Linked DNA regions of Oryctolagus cuniculus. The protein of the gene in region 2 binds, or shares a complex with, the protein of the main gene of each other region. Links are inferred from orthologs where the notes say so. Each region holds a gene or a part of one and is shown on either strand. Other genes may lie near its edges.

The links.
Region 1: RBL1 (region 2) and TFDP2 share a complex: the UniProt entries of both Homo sapiens proteins name them as parts of the DREAM complex. The link is inferred for Oryctolagus cuniculus from reciprocal best matches to the Homo sapiens genes RBL1 and TFDP2.
Region 3: RBL1 (region 2) and MYBL2 share a complex: the UniProt entries of both Homo sapiens proteins name them as parts of the DREAM complex. The link is inferred for Oryctolagus cuniculus from reciprocal best matches to the Homo sapiens genes RBL1 and MYBL2.
Region 4: the proteins of RBL1 (region 2) and E2F5 are in contact, whole or in part, in a crystal structure (PDB 5TUV), measured with the Homo sapiens proteins. The link is inferred for Oryctolagus cuniculus from reciprocal best matches to the Homo sapiens genes RBL1 and E2F5. Residues at the interface, in NP_002886.2 of Homo sapiens: Ser1000, Ala1001, Leu1002, Leu1003, Tyr1004, Lys1005, Phe1006, Asn1007, Ile1017, Met1020, Ile1021, Gly1024, Glu1025; in NP_001942.2 of Homo sapiens: Met162, Ile190, Ala192, Pro193, Ser194, Gly195, Thr196, Gln197, Leu198, Glu199, Val200, Pro201, Ile202, Pro203, Glu204, Met205, Tyr213, Leu217.

Annotation. Positions count from the first base shown.
Region 1 is NC_091435.1:139,902,142-139,906,881, reverse strand, and holds part of TFDP2 (transcription factor Dp-2), read right to left. Parts: coding exon 4,731-4,740; intron 1,124-4,730; coding exon 957-1,123; intron 1-956. UniProt on the Homo sapiens protein: Can stimulate E2F-dependent transcription.
Region 2 is NC_091442.1:21,426,984-21,431,723, forward strand, and holds part of RBL1 (retinoblastoma-like protein 1), read left to right. Parts: intron 1-206; coding exon 207-393; intron 394-1,461; coding exon 1,462-1,628; intron 1,629-3,197; coding exon 3,198-3,310; intron 3,311-3,514; coding exon 3,515-3,618; intron 3,619-4,740. UniProt on the Homo sapiens protein: Key regulator of entry into cell division. Directly involved in heterochromatin formation by maintaining overall chromatin structure and, in particular, that of constitutive heterochromatin by stabilizing histone methylation.
Region 3 is NC_091442.1:15,287,613-15,292,352, forward strand, and holds part of MYBL2 (myb-related protein B), read right to left. Parts: intron 2,188-4,740; coding exon 2,116-2,187; intron 1,337-2,115; coding exon 1,244-1,336; intron 1-1,243. UniProt on the Homo sapiens protein: Transcription factor involved in the regulation of cell survival, proliferation, and differentiation. Transactivates the expression of the CLU gene.
Region 4 is NC_091437.1:110,675,775-110,681,057, reverse strand, and holds the start of E2F5 (transcription factor E2F5), read right to left. Parts: upstream 3,734-5,283; 5' UTR 3,493-3,733; coding exon 3,241-3,492; intron 1-3,240.

The DNA.
Region 1 (4,740 bases), on a different chromosome or scaffold from region 2:
TGACACTGCCTAGGAAAGCTGAAGACACATACAACTCCAACCCAACAATTTCAATTCATACATTTGCACATGGGCAGGCACCAGGGCACATTACAGGAATATTCAAAGCAGCCTTTTTAGGATTTTAACACCAAGTACTTAGGAACAAATTAAAGGTTTATTATCAATAAAATGAATAAGCTGTGCTTTTAGTCAAATACTGCAGTGGTCTTGGGAAGTAGAACTGTGTGAATGAACAGCCACATGAAATCACTTGGATGGATTCAAAGAACATAATGTTGAAGAAAAAATCCAATCACCAAAGAATGTATCTCTGATTCCATTCATATAAAGGTAAGAAGTGGGCAAACCTCAATAACAAATTGCTTTCAGTTACCATATTTGCTTGTTTCTCTAAAAGAAAAGCACGAGGCTCTAGTCACCATGTCCTGGCCTTGTTTTTCTGGCGCTGAAACTTTCTATTTTGACTTTTATGTAGAGAAAGACAATACAGAAAACAAAGGAGCCCAGAGAGCAGGACGGAGGGGCACCTACTTCCTCTTGCAGACTGCCCAGGTGGCCCTGGAAGGGTCCAGAGGGCACTCAGAAAGGATGTTCACAAACTCCATCAAGCACTTACTGAGCGCTCTCCCCTGCCCAGGCTCTAGGCCGACTGCTGGGAAGAACAGATAAAGATATCACTGGGGAGCCAAACTCAGTAATGAGTCAGCCAGTTTAGATCTCCGTAACGCATGCTGTACTACACAGGTGGAAGTTCCCAATGTCAGGAAAACAACCTATTTATTCTAATTTGGGGTGGGTGGGTGGGAGGAGTCCTAAATGTATTCAGTAAGGGGTTAAAAGTCTCAATTTGGGGACATAAGAACAGATTTTCCAAAATTCTGCCGTTTCCTATGGGAGAAGCTTGAACAGGTTGGGGTTTGACAGGGAGTAGGTGTGTGAGCCTGTTACCATACCTGTGACGTAGCCTTCCAAAGCCTTTGGCACCAGAGATTTTGCAAGTTTCAGATCCTCCAGAGAGCATTTGCCAGACTCCAGGCCAAAGGACATGCCCATCCGCTTCAGCACTTCTATGTCGTCATGGATCTCAAAGGTGTTGTCAAAATTGAAAAGATACTCAAACCTGCATCAGGAAACAAAGTCGGTATGCGGTCGCTGCTAGTACTGGAGAGCTCTGAATAGTTTTGTACAAGCTACTTTAAACAAGAGAACGAGGGCCTAAGTTCAGCTACAGGGCCAGAACTGTCAGCATTTGGAGCAATGAGTCATTGTGCAGTGCTCGGGGAATGACATCTCACAGAAAGCGCTTTTCCAATTAAAACAACTTTCCCGAGACATAAACTTTAGCCCTAATGCTGTTGCATGCAGGAATCAAAAGTTTTATTCTGAATGCAATACATTTCAAAATGGTCTACAGCTTTGCCACACAAGAAGTCTTTCTAGTTTAACGAATGATATTTGGACTGTGAATTGGCTTATCCGCTTCAAGAAAAAATATAACATTTTGAATGCTTACTTCATGTTCGTGACTCAGTGTTACCTACAGCATTTTATTTTTATTTTTTTTATTTTTGACAGGCAGAGTGGACAGTGAGAGAGAGAGACAGAGAGAAAGGTCTTCCTTTGCCGTTGGTTCACCCTCCAATGGCTGCCGCGGCCGGCGCACCGCGTTGATCCGATGGCAGGAGCCAGGTACTTATCCTGGCCTCCCATGGGGTGCAGGGCCCAAGTACTTGGGCCATCCTCCATTGCACTCCCTGGCCACAGCAGAGAGCTGGCCTGGAAAAGGGGCAACCGGGACAGACTCCAGCGCCCCAACCGGGACTAGAACCCGGTGTGCCGGCGCCACAAGGCAGAGGATTAGCCTAGTGAGCTGCGGCGCCGGATACAGCATTTTATCCATTCATTCATTCATTTATTCTTTCATTTGAAGCAGAGAAAGCCAGAACCAGAAACTCAAAGTTAGCACATGAATGGCAGAGACCCCACTACATCTCCCAGAGACTGCACTAGCAGGAAGCCGGAGTCAGGAGTCAGAGTCAGGATTCAAACCCAAGCAATCTGATGTGAGACACAGGCAGCGTGGCTGGCATCTCAACTGCTGGGCCAAATACCCACCCATACAGGATACTTCAGCTGGGCAATATATGGAAGACTTACCAAACTGAAGCACCCATGAATCCTAACTTGGTAGGCTAAGGAGTGCAAAATCTTAAGAAAAAGTGTCATAGACATTGCCATTGCAAACTCCTCAATCCCGCTGCTCACCTGCCCAGCACAACCCTTCCACACAGAGGGGCCTGCAGAGGGCACGGCCACTGAGTCCACCACTGGGCCTCCGGCACCTTCACCCAAGGCCCGACCACAGGGACAGAGTTCAGGGGAAGCTCCAGACTGGGGATTCTCACCTTGTCCTCAAATCATACTAAAATCATGGGAGGGTGAAACACTTTATGTTATATCAGTATAAAAATGACAACTTGAAGGCCGGTGCCACGGCTCAATAGGCTCATCCTCCGCCTTGCGGCGCTGGCACACCGGGTTCTAGTCCCGGTTGCCCCTCTTCCAGTCCAGCTCTCTGCTGTGACCCGGGAAGGCAGTGGAGGATGGCCCAAGTGCTTGGGCCCTGCATCCCATGGGAGACCAGGGGAAGCACCTGGCTCCTGCCTTCAGATCAGCGCGGTGCGCCGGCTGCAGTGCGCCAGCCGTGGCGGCCATTGGAGGGTGAACCAACGGCAAAGGAAGACCTTTCTCTCTGTCTCTCTCTCTCACTATCCACTCTGCCTGTCCAAAAAAAAAAAAAAAAAAAAAAAAAAAAAAAGACAACTTGAATCAGAAAGTCCTGAAATACGTGGATTTGAATAAAGTACACTAGCAAGTTTTTTTGAACAAAAAATATCCACAGTAGATGCCTACTTCAGGGATGGTTTCAGGCATCTGTCACAAGCAGATGGTTTTTCTTTCTTTTTTAAGAGATTTACTTATTTATTTGAAAGACAGAGTTACAGAGGAGAGTGACAGTGAGAGATCCCCAAATGGCTGCAACACCAACTGAGCCAGGAGCTTCCTCAGGGTCTCCCAAGTGGGGGCAGGGGCCCAAGCACTCGGGACATCCTCCGTTACTGCATGGGAAGGGGAGCAGCCGGGTCTCAATGGCGTCCATACGGGATGCCGGCGCCATAGGCAGGGGCTTAACCAGCTGAGCTACAGTGCTGGCCCCCAGCAGAAGGTTTTATAAACTCAATCCTCCCTGTGGGAAAAGTCTCCTGGCCAATAAGAGGAAAGACTGCCTCCCCAAACTGAGAGCCAGGGTTTGGGACCCAGTTTGAGGAACAGGTTTACTGCTCAGGAATGCCTTCCGTACGCTCAAGGAAGGCTGGGAAAGGGCTGGGCCAGTGGCCCGGAGAGACAGAACCCTTGTCAGGCCCCAGCCTCGGGGCATGCTGCCATAATCTTGTGTGTCAAGGGTCCCAGGTTTTCCTGATACCTTTTTTAGACTTAAACAACTGAAGATATGAATTATTAATTCCCCTACAAAACAAGACTAATTTGAAAGAGACTAACTAAAAATGCCAAGTTTGGGGATTTTTTCCTCAAAAAAGATGTCAACCATTTTCTAGAATTCTCAGTTGAATGAGAATTGTTAACAGTCCTTTTAGAACTTCTTTGCAAAGAAACTGCAAGGATATGAATAATAATTCAGACTTATGGACCTCCGGGCTGAACCTGCCCCTGTGTCTTTCACATACATTTTAAAAGAAATAAATAAATTTTAAAATGCTTGGTGATTGAGGCTATGTGTCCATACACAGTAAAAAATAGTTTCAGTTTCCTGTAAGGCTGTACATGGTCCTTTTATTTCCTTGTGACCTGCAAAACTGGTTTATAATCAACTTTTAAAAGAATTAAAAAAAAGAAAGAAAGAAAAGACAAGACAGTAGACACCACGCAGGCGTCCAGGCAGCCCGGACCGCTGTCACAGCAGCTGACGTCTGTGAAGTGTCTGCCCCCAGTGAGACTCCTCAAGCATCGTCCAACTGCAGCCTCACAACAAGGCTAAGGCGACGGAAGCTCTGCTATCACTCCCGTCAGTTCTTGAGAAGTGGAGCTTCGGAGCAGGCAGCGTGGGAGGCGCAAGCCACACAAGGGCCAGGCCCACCCCACGCCGTACACACTCTTCACCCTCTCAAGATACTGGGAACAGCCAAGACGTTCCACGAGGGACAAAGTAATGCTGCATTTGAAAAGTGCTACTTCGAACTTGCTATGATGTAGATTAATGTTATATCAATCGTAGTTAAAAATGTGAAATAAATAAAGTAAAAGGCAGAGAATGTGCCTAGCATGTTCATGTCCATCCGTTCGTACCCAGGAACACACAACAGCGACATGGCAAACACAGGAGCACAATGAACTATGCCAGGACGCAATCAGGACCCCACCTCGGCACAGCCCCTCAGCGATGCTCTCACCCACTGCACACAGGAAATGCATCGCAGCTGGGGCCCAGGCCGGGCCTCGCCTGTCACTCAGGCAGCACAGTGCCTGGACAGGACAGGGGACCGAGGAGGGCGCGTGACAGCGTGGCCGTGGAGAAGGCTCCTAGGCTTGAGGAGGCGATTTGTGCACCCCAGGCAGGGCAGCCTCGGGGGGCTGCGGCTGACAGAGTGCACGTGAGGACAGCACGCCCGCAGGGGGCCAGGCCTGCGTGCCCCCACATCCCCACTCACTTGTCACTGG
Region 2 (4,740 bases):
TCCTGACTTTGCAAAAATAATTTATTGAATGAATGTGAAGAATGTCATTAAATAAGAACTTCTAATATTGTTAGATGGGCAGTCAATAAAAGCTAGAAAGTCATCCGCTTTCCCAAACTGTGAATTCTAAGTCTGCCTTCAAGTCAAGGTATACCCATCGTGTAGCTTAGTTTTACTCTAGCTTCTTAAAATAATTCTCTTTGCAGCAAAGCAGTTAACAAGGAATATGAAGAGTATGTTCTAACTGTTGGTGATTTTGATGAGAGGATCTTTCTGGGAGCAGATGCAGAAGAGGAAATTGGAACACCTCGGAAATTCACTGGTGACACCCCGCTAGGGAAACTGACAGCACAGGCTAATGTGGAGTGTAATCTTCAACAACACTTTGAAAAAGTAATATAACCTAGCCTCGCCTCAGTCTTGAATGATCTTTTTCTCTCTGTGTGTGATTTCTACTAACAGCAGAGCATCTTTCAAGTTAAGTCTTGAGTTTCTTCTACTAATTCATATTTAACATGCAAGCCTTAAAAGGTAATTTTCAAAACTATGGCATTTGGTACTCTTACATCTTTCTTCCTATTAATGATAGTTTGGGTATATTTTCCCAACATGCTTCCGTTTATCAGATTATATGCCTTTTGACATAAAAGGGAATTTATGCTTCCTTATTATTTGCTTCAATATAGACTCTTTCATATTCCTTTAAAATTTAGTGTGCTATCCTAGCCATGACATAAGCTATTAGTTCTTCTCTAAATCCAGCCCTTTAACTCTAGGCTTGTTGACCAAGGCTTAATTTTGTATTTATGTGTGAAATGGGTTGGAAGATGAGCTCAAATGGGAAACTCACTGGTTTAGAAGGTAGAAAACCTAAAATTTAGTCTTAGCTCTGCCATTAACTTTGTCAACTTAAGTAGGTTTTTAGCTTATCTGGGCACTTTCCTCGTAAATTAAAGTATAAGATAAAATGAGAGTATAGATAGAAAGTGCTGTTACTATGGGGCTGGAGTTATGTATCAGATTAAGTGGCTGCTTGTAGCGCCAGTATGATATATGGGTGCCAGTTTGAGTCCCAGCTGCTCCACTTCTGATCCAGCTCCCTGCTAAGGCACCTGGGAAAGCACCCATGTGGGAGGCCCAGAGGAAGCTTCTGGCTTCAGCCCTGCCCAGCCCTGGCTGTTGCAGCCATTTGGGGAGTGAACCAGGGATGGAAGAACTCTCTCTCTCTGTCTCTCCTTCTTCTCTCTCTAACTCGGCCTTTCAAATAAATTAAATAAATCTTTAAAAAAAAGTATTATTCAAATATAAAAATATTATTAGCATAGTATTGCTAAAAATTTGGTAGGTAATAAAGAGGGGAAAAGTAACTATCTATAAATTTGAATATGCATAGTATGTATACTGAATTACACAATAAGCAGGAAGTAAATGTTAATCTCACAGATTTTTCTTTTCTCATAGAAAAGATCATTTGCACCTTCTACCCCACTGACAGGACGGCGATATTTACGAGAAAAAGAAGCAGTCATTACTCCTGTTGCTTCTGCTACCCAAAGTGTGAGCCGCTTACAGAGCATTGTAGCTGGACTAAAAAATGCAGCAAGTGAACAACTTACAAATATTTTTGAGTAAGTTTAGTTCTATTATATAATCATGTGTTTAAAATTAGATTCTTATTCTGTTCTGTTTGTAGTATATTCAGCCTTCTTGAAATAGTGGATACACATTTGGCAAGTTCTACTTTACAGTTTCAACCACAATATATATTGACCTAAAACCAGATAGTAGTACTTTTTTTTTTTTTTTAATTGAAGTAACTTGTTTAAGAGGTATTTATTTATTGGAAAGGCATGGTTACAGAGAGGCAGGGGCAGAGAGAGAGAGAAAGAGAGGTTTTCCCATCTGCTGGTTCACTCCCCAGATGGCCTTAACGCCTGGAGCTGCACTGATCTGGAGCCAGGAGCTTCTTCCCACATAGGTGCAGGGGCTCAAGGACTTGGCTCAAAGACATCTTCTACTGCTTTCCCAGGCCATAACAGAGAGCTGGATCATATGTGGAGCAACCGGGATTTGAACCAGCACCCATATTGGATGCTGAAACTACAGGTGGTGGCTTTACCCGCTATGCCGTAGCGCCAGCCCCTGGATAGAAGTACTTATTAAAAATTGTATATAAATGTTATTCCACTGCTTTTCCCAGGCCATTAGCAGGGAACTGGATCAGAAGTGGAGCAGACAGGACCTGAACTAGAACCTACATGGGATGCTGGCATCTCAGGCAGTAGCTTTACCCACTTAGCCACATTGCCAGGCCCTATAAATGTTATTTTGTAGTATAGACTTCAAGGTTAATTGTATCCTAAAAGTTATTTGCCTCAGACATTTTAGGCTTATTACTACCTCTGAATTATACATATTTTTCCTTGTACATTGTGTTTTTGGTTTTTTTTTTTTTAGGATTTATTTATTTGAAAATCAGAGTTATAAAGAGAGAGGGAGAGACAGAGAGAATCTTCCATCCATTGGCTCACTCAATGGCCAGGGCTGGGCCAGGTCAAAGACAGGAGCTTCATCTGGGTCTCTCACATGGGTGGCAGGGACCCAGGTACTTGGGCCATTGTTTTTGCCATCCCCAGCACATTAGTAGGAACCTGGATCAGAAGTGGAGCAGATGGGACTTGGAAGTGGTGCTTATATGGGATGGTGGCAGGAGAGGCAGTTGCTTAACCCCCTGCACTAGGGTAGCAGCTCCTCAAGCAGTGTCTTAAGTACCATGCTAAACATACAACCTTAAACTATTTGTTAAAAGATTTGTTTATTTTGAAAGGTAGAGTTACAGAGAGAGAAGGAAAGAGAGAGAGGTCTTCCATTCACTAGTTCACTCCTCAAATGGCCGCAACGGTTGGGGCTGGACTGATCTGAAGCCAGGGGCCAGGAGATTCTTCCAGTTCTCCCATATGGGTACAGGGGCCCAAGGACTTAGGCAATCTTCTGCTACCTTCCCAGATGCATTAAGAGGGAGCTGGATCAGAAGTGGAGCAGTTGGGACTTGAACCAGCACCCAATTGGGATGCCAGCGCTGCAGGCAGCAGCTTTACCCACTTTGCCATAGCACTAGCCCCTAAACTGTTTCTTAAAGAGAAATCTTGTTAGTTTTCTTTTTTTCTGATAATTAGGTTCCTCTTTGTATTTTATAGATCTTGTATACGTAATCCTGTGGAAAACATTACAAAAATAGTGAAAGGAATAGGAGAGACTTTCTGCCAACACTATACCCAATCAACAGATGAACAGCCAGGATCTCACATAGGTAAGAAGAGAAAACTAAGTTGGCATAGCATTGTCCCCAAAACAGAACTTCGATTTTTCCTTTTCTGTTACTCTTAATGTATCAGATTTAAATTTATACGATAAATGTTGTTCTTTAACACAATTTAAATTTATACGATAAGTTTTGTTTTCAACCCTTAACTTGATTTCATTAGCATATGTTTTCCCTTTACTTCTCTTACAGACTTTGCTATAAACAGACTTAAGCTGGCAGAAATTTTATATTATAAAATATTAGAGACTGTAATGGTTCAGGAAACGCGAAGACTTCATGGAATGGATATGTCTGTAAGTAAATCCCCTCTCCCAGCCACTGGGGAGGTCAGGAAGTCCTGGCCTAGAAGTGGTGTCCAGGAGGCTCTGCAGCTGTAGAGGGCCTTCTGGGGTCAGCAGTTTATGGCACACTTGGTCAAGATGACATTTTCACTGGCCTCAGTTGAATTTGCCACAGCTAGGGCTAGCCATACATGCTCATATTTGGGATGCTGTCAGTGTCCTTTTCCCTTAGTCCTTTTTGTGTCCTTCATTCCCCTACTGTGTCAGCTCCCCTACTGATAACTGAGGTGTTTGTTTATAACTCCCTGTGCTTTTAGATCATAACGTGGTGGTAGTTGTTTTTTTTTTTAAGATTTATTTATTTTTTTTTAATTTTTCTTTTGTAGATTTATTTATTTTACTTGAAAGTCAGAGTTACAGAGAGAGGAGAGGCAGAGAGAGGGACAGAGAGAGAGGTCTTCCATCTAATGGTTCACTCCCCAGTTGGCCACAACGGCCGGAGCCGCACCGATCCAAAGCCAGGAGCCATGAGCTTCCTCCAGGTCTCCCACGTGGGTGCAGGGGCCCAGGCACTTGGGCCATCTTCTATTGCTTTCCCCGGCCACAGCAGAGAGCTGGACAAGAAATGGAGCAGCCGAGTCTCGAACTGGCACCCATATGGGATGCCGGCACTTGAGGCCAGGGCATTAACCCGCTGTGCCACAGCACCAGCCCCAAGATCTATTTATTTGAAAGAGTTATAGAGGCACAGAGAAAGAGAGAGAGAGATCTTCCATCCACTGGCTCACTCCCCAAATGACCGCAACTGCCAGAGCTGTGCCGACATGGAACCAGGAACTTCTTCCAGGTCTCCCAAATGGTTGCAGGGGCCCAAGGACCTGGGCCATCTTTCACTGCTTTCCCATGCCGGCAGAGTCCAACTGCAGCAGCCACGAGTCCAACTGGTGCCATACGGGATGCCGGCTCTGCAGTTGGTGGCTTTACCAGCTCCATCACAGAACTAGCCCTGGGTTTTTTTTTTTAAATACTTTTTTTCTTTGAACTTTTGACGAAGTCTGACCACTCTCCAATAGCTATGTAAAAACATTTCTACAAAGTCAAACCTCTTAAATGATCTTTGATCTTTCAGTTTCA
Region 3 (4,740 bases), about 6.1 Mb from region 2:
CCCACATCCGGTGTCTAAGGGCCTGGTCTGAGTCCCGGCTGCTGTCCTTCTGATTCAGCTACTGCTAATGCGCACCCGGGGAGGCAGCAGACGGTTCAAGTACTTGTGTTCCTGCCACCCACAGTGGAGGCCCAGATGAAGTTCCTGTCTCCTGGCTTTGGCCTGGCAATTGTAGGCATTTGGGGAATGAACCAGAGGATGAAATATCTCTTTGCCTTTCAAATAAAATGAAAATAGCTAAATTTAAAATAATAATAAAACATCTAGTCCTCTCACCTCCCTCTTCTCCCTGGGCTGCGCCTGCCAGTGCAGTGGCATTCTCTGGGCTGGTTTCAGGAAGAACCAGAGAGAAGACTCCTGAGAAATAGCCCGGGGGTCCTGGTGCTGCCTCTTCCTAGCTTGGGGGCACCCTACTCTGAGCCTTGATGTCCCCTTGTACCCATTCACACGACTGTGATCAAAAGGACACAGCAGGGCCGGCGCCGCGGCTCACTAGGCTAATCCTCCGCCTAGCGGCGCCGGCACACCGGGTTCTAGTCCCGGTCGGGGCACCGGATTCTGTCCCGGTTGCCCCTCTTCCAGGCCAGCCCTCTGCTGTGGCCAGGGAGTGCAGTGGAGGATGGCCCAGGTGCTTGGGCCCTGCACCCCATGGGAGACCAGGAAAAGCACCTGGCTCCTGGCTCCTGCCATCGGATCAGCGCGGTGCGCCGGCCGCAGCGCGCAGGCCGCGGCGGCCATTGGAGGGTGAACCAACGGCAAAGGAAGACCTTTCTCTCTGTCTCTCTCTCTCACTGTCCACTCTGCCTGTCAAAAAAAAATAAATTAAAAAAAAAAAAAAAAAAAAAAAAAAAAAAAAAAAAGGACACAGCATTTACAAGGCTCAGTGCCCAGGAAAACGGTTCACCAGGCACAGTCACCGTTATAACAAGAAAATAGCACCTGCCACCCTCTGTAAGCTCAGCTGGTGCAGGGACCACACAAACCCCTCCCGTGCATCACCTGTCCAACCTTCACAAAAACCCTACTGCAGGGACCAAGAAGCTGAGTGTTCTGCCCAACAGCCCCAGCTCCTGATTGCAGACCCTCTGGATCAGGACCTGGGGCCTCGAACTGGACACCTGGGGACACCCGGGCTGATCGCAGGCTGGCTCACTCCCAGGTTCATGTGCATGGACATGCCCACAACGGTGCCTGCTGCCCTGCAGGTGGGTGAAGGCCCACTGAATACAGGTGGCTGAGTTACCTTCTGGTCCTCCTCTTTGGTCCAGGGCCCCTTGACAAGATCTGGATTCAAAACTCTCAGCCACCGGTACTGGCATTGCTGGTCAGTGCGGTTCTGGGAAGTGAACAGGAAGAACATTCAGGAATCTGTGAGAACTCCTGATCCATGGGCTGGGACCCTTTGGAGCACTGGGCTCAGGGGTTCAGGGCCCAGTGTATGCCACCACCACCACCCCCACCACACACTGCAGGCCCACACACGAGGACACGCGTGGCTTCCCTTTGCTGCAGACGGGGACAGGTTCGGGCCCCTGTAGAAGATCACCTCCCACTACCCACACAGGCAGCCACCCCTGCCAAGCCTGTAACAGACTCATGAGGTTCCAGATCCCTGCTTTCTTTTGGGAGAGTGTTTCTATTTCTGAAGCACCACACGGATGAAAAGCAGATGAACAAAGTGGACAAAAGGGCTCTGGTGGCTCCGACCTCTAGTGGCCCTGGGGACCCAGGCAGTAAGCCAGAGAGCAGACACCTGCAGCCTGGGGGTGGGGTGGCTGCAGGGCCTTACTGTGCAGCCGCAGCCGGCGGAAGCACCACCTGCCCCCAGCTGCAGCCTCACTGTTGAGGAACCCAGCACCCATCCGCTCCAGCAGTGCACGAAGCAATGCAAATAAGCATGTCACTGGCCACAGCTACAAACCCCGCAAAGCCCCGGACACACGAGGCAGCTGTGGGCAGAGGCTTCGCCTCTGGGAAGCAAGGTCCCATGAACACAGTCGTCTTTTACGTGGTTCTCCTTCGGAGGGAACTGGTAAGAACTCCCTCGCCTTCTCCCTGGCAGGAAGCTTGTCCCCGGCACAGTGGTAGGTCGGCGAGAACCCCTGCCATACTCACAGGAAAGTGGCTGGCCAGGAACTTCCAATCCTGCTGTCCGAACTGCCTCACCAGGGCCCTCAGCTGCTCATCCTGCCAACACGAGGAAGACAGAGCTCAGCGCACACTGTGCAGGAGGCCGCCTCCCAGGCGCCCCCAACAGTAGCCCCTCCAAGAACAGCTCCGTCCTTCCATCCCGGCTTAAAATGACCACCTACTGCGCGCCAGGAATGGCAGTCACAGCGGCAGGCAGCAACCCTGAGGGGCTTATGGTCTAGGGAGAGCTCATCGAAAGCTCAGAGACACAAAGAGATGCACAGTAATGGGAACGCAAAGCTGGAACACTGGACTCAAGTGAACAAGGGACGCGAGATGGTTCTGGAGGGACGGCAGGGACCAGGCCTCATGCAAAACTGACGCCTCTGCAGCAGGCTAAGCCACCGCGGCATCTGAGCAGTGAGCATTTACGGTCCAATGGCTTGTGACAAGGGCTCCAACGTGCTTGCTGCAAGGCAGGAAAGGGGATGGAAGGAGGCAGAGTGGACATGCGAGGCCAATACTGCACCCAGGCCCGGGGTGACAGGACTCGGCTCTGGAGGTGGGGTAGCCATGGGCAGAACTGAGAGCAGGCAGAAGACACGTTCTCCTGAAGAGGAGCTACTGTCACACAACGTGCATCTCGGGATCCTGATAGGTCAGACATAAACGGGGACATACCGGATCATTCCACGCACACGGAATCTAGAAGATGTGAACTAAGATACAGGAACAAAAAGGAAGCCAGTGGTCGGACAAAAGAGACAGCAAGGAGAGCGAGGACTGTGTTGGGGGTAGTGGAATGTTCTGGAACGTGACTGCTGCTATTCGTGGCTGTAAACAAGCACCTGTGAAATTCACTGAGCTGTACGTCGAACGGCAGTTGATTGTATATAAAGTATTTCTCAATTTTATAGAAATAAAATATATAGGAGTATTTGGAATAGCAGTTAAGATGGCACTTGGGGGGCCTGGCGCTGTGGTGTAGCAGGTAAAGCTACTGCCAGCAGTGCCAGCATCCCATATGGGCACCGGTTCAAGTCCCAGCTGCTCCATTTCCAACGATGCTCCCTGCTAATGTGCCTGGGAAAACAGTGGAGGATGGCCCAAGTCCTTGGGCCCCCGCACCCGCATGCGAATCCTGGAAGAAGCTCCAGGCTCCTGGCTTCAGACCAGCCCAGCTCCAACTGTAGTGGGCATTTGGAGAGTAAACCAGCAGATAGAAGATTTCTCTGTCTCTCTGCCTCTCTGTAACTCTGCCTTTCAAATAAATAAATAAATAAATCTTAAAAAAAAAAAAATATGTCACTTGGGACACACTTTCTCATATCAGAGTGCCTGAGTTCAAATCCCAGCTCTGCTCCTATTCCAGCTTCCTGCTAACAATGTGTACTCTGGCTCAAGTACTTGAGTCCCTGACACCCATGCAGGAGACTTGAATGAAATTCCTGGCTCCTGGTTTTGGTCTGGCCCAGCCCCAGCTGTTAGAGGCATTGAGAGTAAATCAGCATATGGAAGATTTCTGTCTAATAAGTAAAATTTTTAAAAAATATGATATACACAAAGAAAACATGGTAAAGACATCAATGAAATATGACCCAGTCTTAAAAAAAAAATGAAGAAAAACAGAGGCTAATGTGGCACAACGGATTAAACCACCACTTGCCACACCAGCATCTCATATCAAAGTGTGGGTTCGAGTCCCGGGCTATTCGGCCCCGACGCAGCTTCCTGCTAATGTGACTAGCAGAGCAGGAGACGGCTCAGGCCCCTGCACCCACGTGCAAGACCTGGATGGAGCTCTGAGCTCCTGGCTTCTGCCTGGTCCAGCCCCAGCTGTCAACAGCAATTCGGGGAATGAGCCAGTGGATGGAAGCTCTGTCTCTCTTGCTCTGTCACTCTGCCATTTGAATAAGTAAATAAACAAATCTCTAATTAAAAAGAAGGCAAACTAAAAAAAAAAAAAAAAAAAAAAAAAAAAGGAAATTCTGAAACATACTAGATGGAACAGGGACAACCCTTGAGGACATTTTGTTCCATGAAATAAGCCAGTCACAAAAGGACAAGTACTGTGTGCTTCCAGTCACGAGGTACCGAGAGCAGTCAAAGCCACAGAAACAGAAAGCAGGCACCTAGCAGCCAAGGGCTGGGGAGAGAATTAGTGCCCAAAAGGTAAGAGTTCCATTTCTCAGAAAACAGAAAGCTTCCTAAGATCTGCTGCCCCGTAGACCATGGGGAATACTTAACACTGCCATACTGTGCCCTGAGAAAGGGTTAAGGCCAGGGCTGGGCCAGGCTGAAGCCAGGACTAGAACTCCATCCAGGTCTCCCAGATGGGCACAGGGGCCCAAGCACCTGTGCCATTTCCCACACTGCTTTCCCAGGTGTGTTAACAGGGAGCTGGATCGGAAGTAGACTTGAACCACCAGCACGGCAGGTTGTGGCTGAACCTGCTAAGCCACAACACAGGCCCCCACACCAATCTCTTAGCCCAATGCCGCCCCAATGTCTACTCCTAGCTACCTACACAGATTAGTGCATATAAAACAGAAGGAAAGCTTCCCTTAGCCAGGGGACGTAGAGAGGGACAGGGTAGCTGTCCAAACCAGG
Region 4 (5,283 bases), on a different chromosome or scaffold from region 2:
TTAAAAATTCAAGGGGACACAAAAATGGCAAATCAAATACAGAAATTCAGTTAAATATTTAATAGGAACTTTCGAAATAACATAAAATTAGTCTTAACTATCTTAGCCATGCTTTAAATTCTTACCTGTAGAAAAAAGAACCCTAGTTCTATCTGCTAAATAATTGGAATCTGCTTTCAATCCTTTCATTTTCAACATGGGGGCTCCGTAATTCCCTCTCTTCTACCCCGAGTAGAGAAGTAAAATAATACATTTTCCTTCACAAGACAGACTCCATGCCTTTACTCAAAAGAAAACTTGTTTATTTTTAGGACTAGAGAAGGGTCATAAAGAATAGAGCACAATAACTAATGAGTTAGCTTCAAATCTTGGCCCTCCATTTTTACCATATGATACTGGGTAAGTTACTGGACTCATCTCGGCTTACTTACCCTAGCAGTTTCTCAACCGTGAAATGGCGATACCAGGCCCCCAAACTTCCATTGTGAAGAGCACAAAATTGGTTAACAGATGCAAAATGCCTGGCACACAGTAAACTCTCAATAAGTGTTAACTGTATTAACAGTATAAACTGGCAAACTGTATATCATGATACAACTTCTCAACTCACTGGAAAAAAAATAAGTGATAACCATTCCACTTCCACCATTACAAACGAGACTTTAACGCAAGTGAAGTGGGGAGGTACTGGAGACAATTTCCTCAAATCAATTCCAATGTGTTTCCATTCCTCCATAATTGTCAGATTATTCCAGAACAGCTTTGTTAGAACTGATTTACTCAGTATAGCTTTGTCCTCAATTAGTTATGTTAATAAGTTAATATATATTAATATACCACTAAAAGACAAAATGATGTCCTTATTTTTCAGCGGTATATATTAGAAAACAGCATGTGCTATGGCTTGGCTAGGACATGGCTCCCAAACTCAGGCTGACTGTTAAACCCTTAAGTCATACACTGATATGGTGTTGAGGAGCGGGCCACCCCTTAGGTACTGGGGGTGTGCCCTTGGAAGGTAGTTGGAGAGAGTAGGTTATACAAGCCTGATGCTGGTCCAACCACTCTGCTTCCCGGCTCACCATACAATCCTTCCTCTGTATGCACTCTGCCATAACCATCCACCAGCCTCTAACCAGGCACCAAACCAATGTGGCAATTTCAAAAACTTTTTCCATCAAAATAAACTTAGTTTTAATTCTATTCTCCTTGAACTTTTAAAAATATTTACATTAATAAGTGGAAAATATAAGTAAAATGTACATATTTTTCATATATGTGAAGAAGAATGACACTCCAACAGTTCTCCAGAAATAGCAAGTCATCAACAGAATGAGACATATTACCGCAGAAATCTTTAACTTTTAGGAGAGTTCCAGGATGAAGGAAAGCTGTTATGAAATACCACACTACATCCTATTCACTACCTCTGTGACTTCCACAGAGCAACGTCATGGCCACAGATGAAACAGGAGGAAGTAAAAAGCGTTTAAGGTCAAGCAAAGGCAAAGCTCAATCCTATTAGGAGGCATGTTGAGGGAGAAATTCAAGAATTGCAGTCCCCGGAGGTTGGTTTTTATCTAAAAAACCCCAAACTTCCCTATTATACTAAAGTCAAAAATCTACAACTGAATTTCTACAATTTGAGTAGCAATTTGTAATCTGAATTTTTTAACATCCCTGGCTGTATCTGATGACCTAATGTCTTCCTGGGAAAATTCTTCAAACAGAATCCATTTTAATTCATCACAGTATCACATGTGCCATAAAGCATTTTCAGAGCAGGTGGAAAAAAAGCAGCTATGGGGGGCAGGGGAAGAGAATAAGGAATTGTGGAAGGTGGGGCGGGGGGGAAATCCAGGAATAATATTTCAAGATAGCACAAACTACTTTCCAAAATGCAGTCTGTTTCATCTGAATTCCGCAGAACAATTCAGATAATTCACCAGCCACCTTACTGAACACCTACTACATCCAGGGAAGACGAGGGCATGGAAAGACACACCTCCTCTCCGGGCTGCACCGGGAAGCCACGGAGCAGGGCCCTGCAATCTGTCTTCCATTGGGAAGTACTGGCTGTGGCGCTCCCCCTCAGATGCGGCTTCTACTGCAATTAGGCGCGCTCCTCCTCAGCTGATGAGGCTTCTACTGCAATTAGGCACAGCCTTGAGGATGGCAGGGACCCCTACAGGTCAGGCAAGGTGGTCCAGGCACTGCCCTGAGTGCAGGGACCAATCTTCCCAGTAAAGCCAGCTTCGGGGGTGTGGGCTGGTGGGAGGGATGCCAGAGTCCGCAGGGACTACCGCACCGGCTACTTAGTATTTTTTTGATTGTAAAACTTTGGTTCTTCCTTAAACTTGGTGTGAGTAGCTGAGTTTTAAAGCAAGCCGTCACATTCTCTCCCCTCCCCCTCAGAGTTGTGGAATTCTTCCAGATCCTGCCACGAACGGTTAAGTCATTCTGCACCACCAAAAAGTTTTTTTGCACGTTTTTTGGTTTAAAAAATCTAGGTCGCAGTAAAGGGCGAAATACAAGTTTTCACAAAACCGCCAGGTTTACTGAGCGCTTCCACCTGTGTGGGTCAAGTTATAAAACAGCCCCTTTTGGTGCGATGGCAAATCACACTTTGCGAAATCTGTGACTGATGTCGAATTAAGCCATAGATCAAATCCTAATCACCACGATGATGAAAGGAAGTATTTCATGAAAACTTTTTTTTGTACTATCGCTACTTTAACATGGGCTACGAACATTTCTTTTCTCCCTTTCATCCAGAAGAGAAGGCACGCCGGGCTCTTTCTTTTTTAAAACAGTACAATTCCAACCAGAATCACTACAAAACCATCCATCCCCAACAGCAAATCAACCCCCAGGTCGTCTGCCGGCAAAGCTCCGGGCCACCCCCACGCCCCTGCCACAGGTGGCCGCACACCCTCGCTTGTCCCGGGGTCCCCGCGTCCCAAGGCAGGAGCCACGCGCGCGGGCTCCAGATCCGCGGCTCTTTGTCGAGAGCCCCGCGCGGCGTCGGACCTCATTGGTTACGCGGCCGGCGGAGGCGATCCCGGTTCCTCTTCCCTCCCCCTTCCCAGCGCCCGCAACCGGGCATCAGGGCCACATGGCCCCGGTTTTCTGGGGCCCCGGTTCCCGCGGGCCGCGTCCACACCACGCCGCAAGGGGCTGGGCTTCTCCCCCAAGCCACGGGCACCGAAGTCCGCCCCCATTCCCGCCTCCCAAGCTCACCGCTTTGAGATCCAGGACGCCGTCCTTGGCCTCCTGCAGCAGCGACACGAACTTGGTGGTGAGCAGCCCCAGGCTCTTCTCGTGCCTGCTGCTACCGCCACCGCCACCCGCGCCCCCGAGTTGCTGCTGCGGCGGCGGCGGCGACGGCTGCGGGAGCTGCTGCGCCTGCGGAGGCTGCGGCTGCGGCCGCTGACTCTGCCCCTGTCCGGGCGGCGCCTGCTGGCCCGAGCCCGCGGGCTCGGCCGCCGCCATCGCGTCCCGGGACCGCGGCGGTCCGGCCTCCGCGCACAGCCGCTCGCCCGCCCCGCCCGGGGCCACCTGCAGGGTTGGTTCTGCCTCGGCCGCTCCCAGCGCCCGCCGAGAACCGCACGGAGAGGCCCGGGCTCCTGCGCACAACAGGTGCGCAGCGGCGTCCGCGACGACGCGGGGCCGCTCGGGCGCGCCGGGCCTCCGCCCCCTCCCCAAGCTCGGGGAAGCACGAAGCAAGCCCACGACTCAGGGAAGGGGGAGTGGGAGCCAGAAGGGGCTGCGAGGGGTGGGGACCGGAGTTTAAATGGCAGGAAGTGACGCCGCGGCGCGCCGTTGCCTGGAAACGCATTTTTCTGTGGGTAGGAGGGGCGCGCCGGGCGCCGGGAGCGTGGCGGAGCGTGGCGGAGCGGATTTCACGCTCGCCCGCGACGCCGGCGAGCGCCTCGGGAACCGAAGGGCTCCCTCAGGGCATCTCGGGTCTGACGGAAAAGGAGACACGAGGAGACTTCCCTCTGATCTAGCGACCTCGCTGCCCCGCGGACGAAACTTTGGGAGCTGAGAAGTTGGCGGACTTGTCGGAGTGCAGAGCTGCGGATCAGCCTCCTGCCGTCACTCTTGGTTGTGGGCAGGCTTCTCGCTCCTTTGCTGTTTCCCAACTTCTGCGTCGTTTGCAGACATTTCCATGACTGGGACCAAGTACGGTCTTCGTAGAGTCAGAATACAGGAAAAGTGGAGTCCTGGAGTAATCAAAGAGTCCTTTTCAAAGCCTTTACCTCGTAGATGGAGACAGTGGTGTGTAGAGAGAGGGGGGGTGAAAGTCCAGAGAAAAAGCCGCTAGATCCCGGATCTCCTGCGTTTAAACAAGTGCTTAATGATCTGCCGGAACCAAAGGATATTGTATTATTTGGAATAGTTGAAGCTCACAGATTCTTGTGCCTCTGTCCTAAATGCTGTCATGCAGATCTGAGTAAAAGAATGCTTTCTCATTGTATTACAAATTCTTGAGCATTAAAACTACATTTTAAACGATTTGGTGTCACACAATAGGAAGGTGAATGACAGCTTCATTTGGCAAATATTCATTAATCAAATTTCATGCAAGATTTTTCTTAGTTTAACAGGGAACTAGCAAAAAAAGGGTCACTGAAGTGAAATAGTCAACAACAGTATTAACTAGTGAAGCCGGATGCACTATTTTAATACAAGTGTTATGGCTCTCATTCACAGAGACAGAATAATAATCAAGTAACTTTTTTTTACTCAACTCTATTTAAAAAACTTGGAATGAAAATCTTAAACATAAAATTTTCATCTATTAGAACTAGATTTGAACAATTATGTATATGTGATTTGACATTAGCCAAATATTAAGCAAGTTTTGCAAATAAGTGTTATTGATTGCTGTCCAATAGTATTCCTTAAAGTTCTAGTTTTAATTTAAAGATGAAGTCAAGATTTGAAAAGAATTGCTAACATTGTTATTTTACAAAATTACAATTAGCCATTACAGTTATGTGGTGTATTAGCCAGCTTGGGCTTTTGACTGGGTGGCTTACAACAGAAATTTATTTGCTCACAGTTCAGGAGCCTGCATGGTGAGTTTCGTGAGGGCCCTCTTCTTGGATCATGGATGGTGGCTTTCTCCCTGTGTCTTCTTGTGGCAAAGAGAGGGAGGAGCGGGGAAACTAGCTTTCTGACTTCTTAAAAAGGCACTAATTTCATCACAAGACGTCCATCCTTGTGATTCTATCTTGTGACTCGCTACTCCCAAAGTCACCACTTCTAAATCCCATC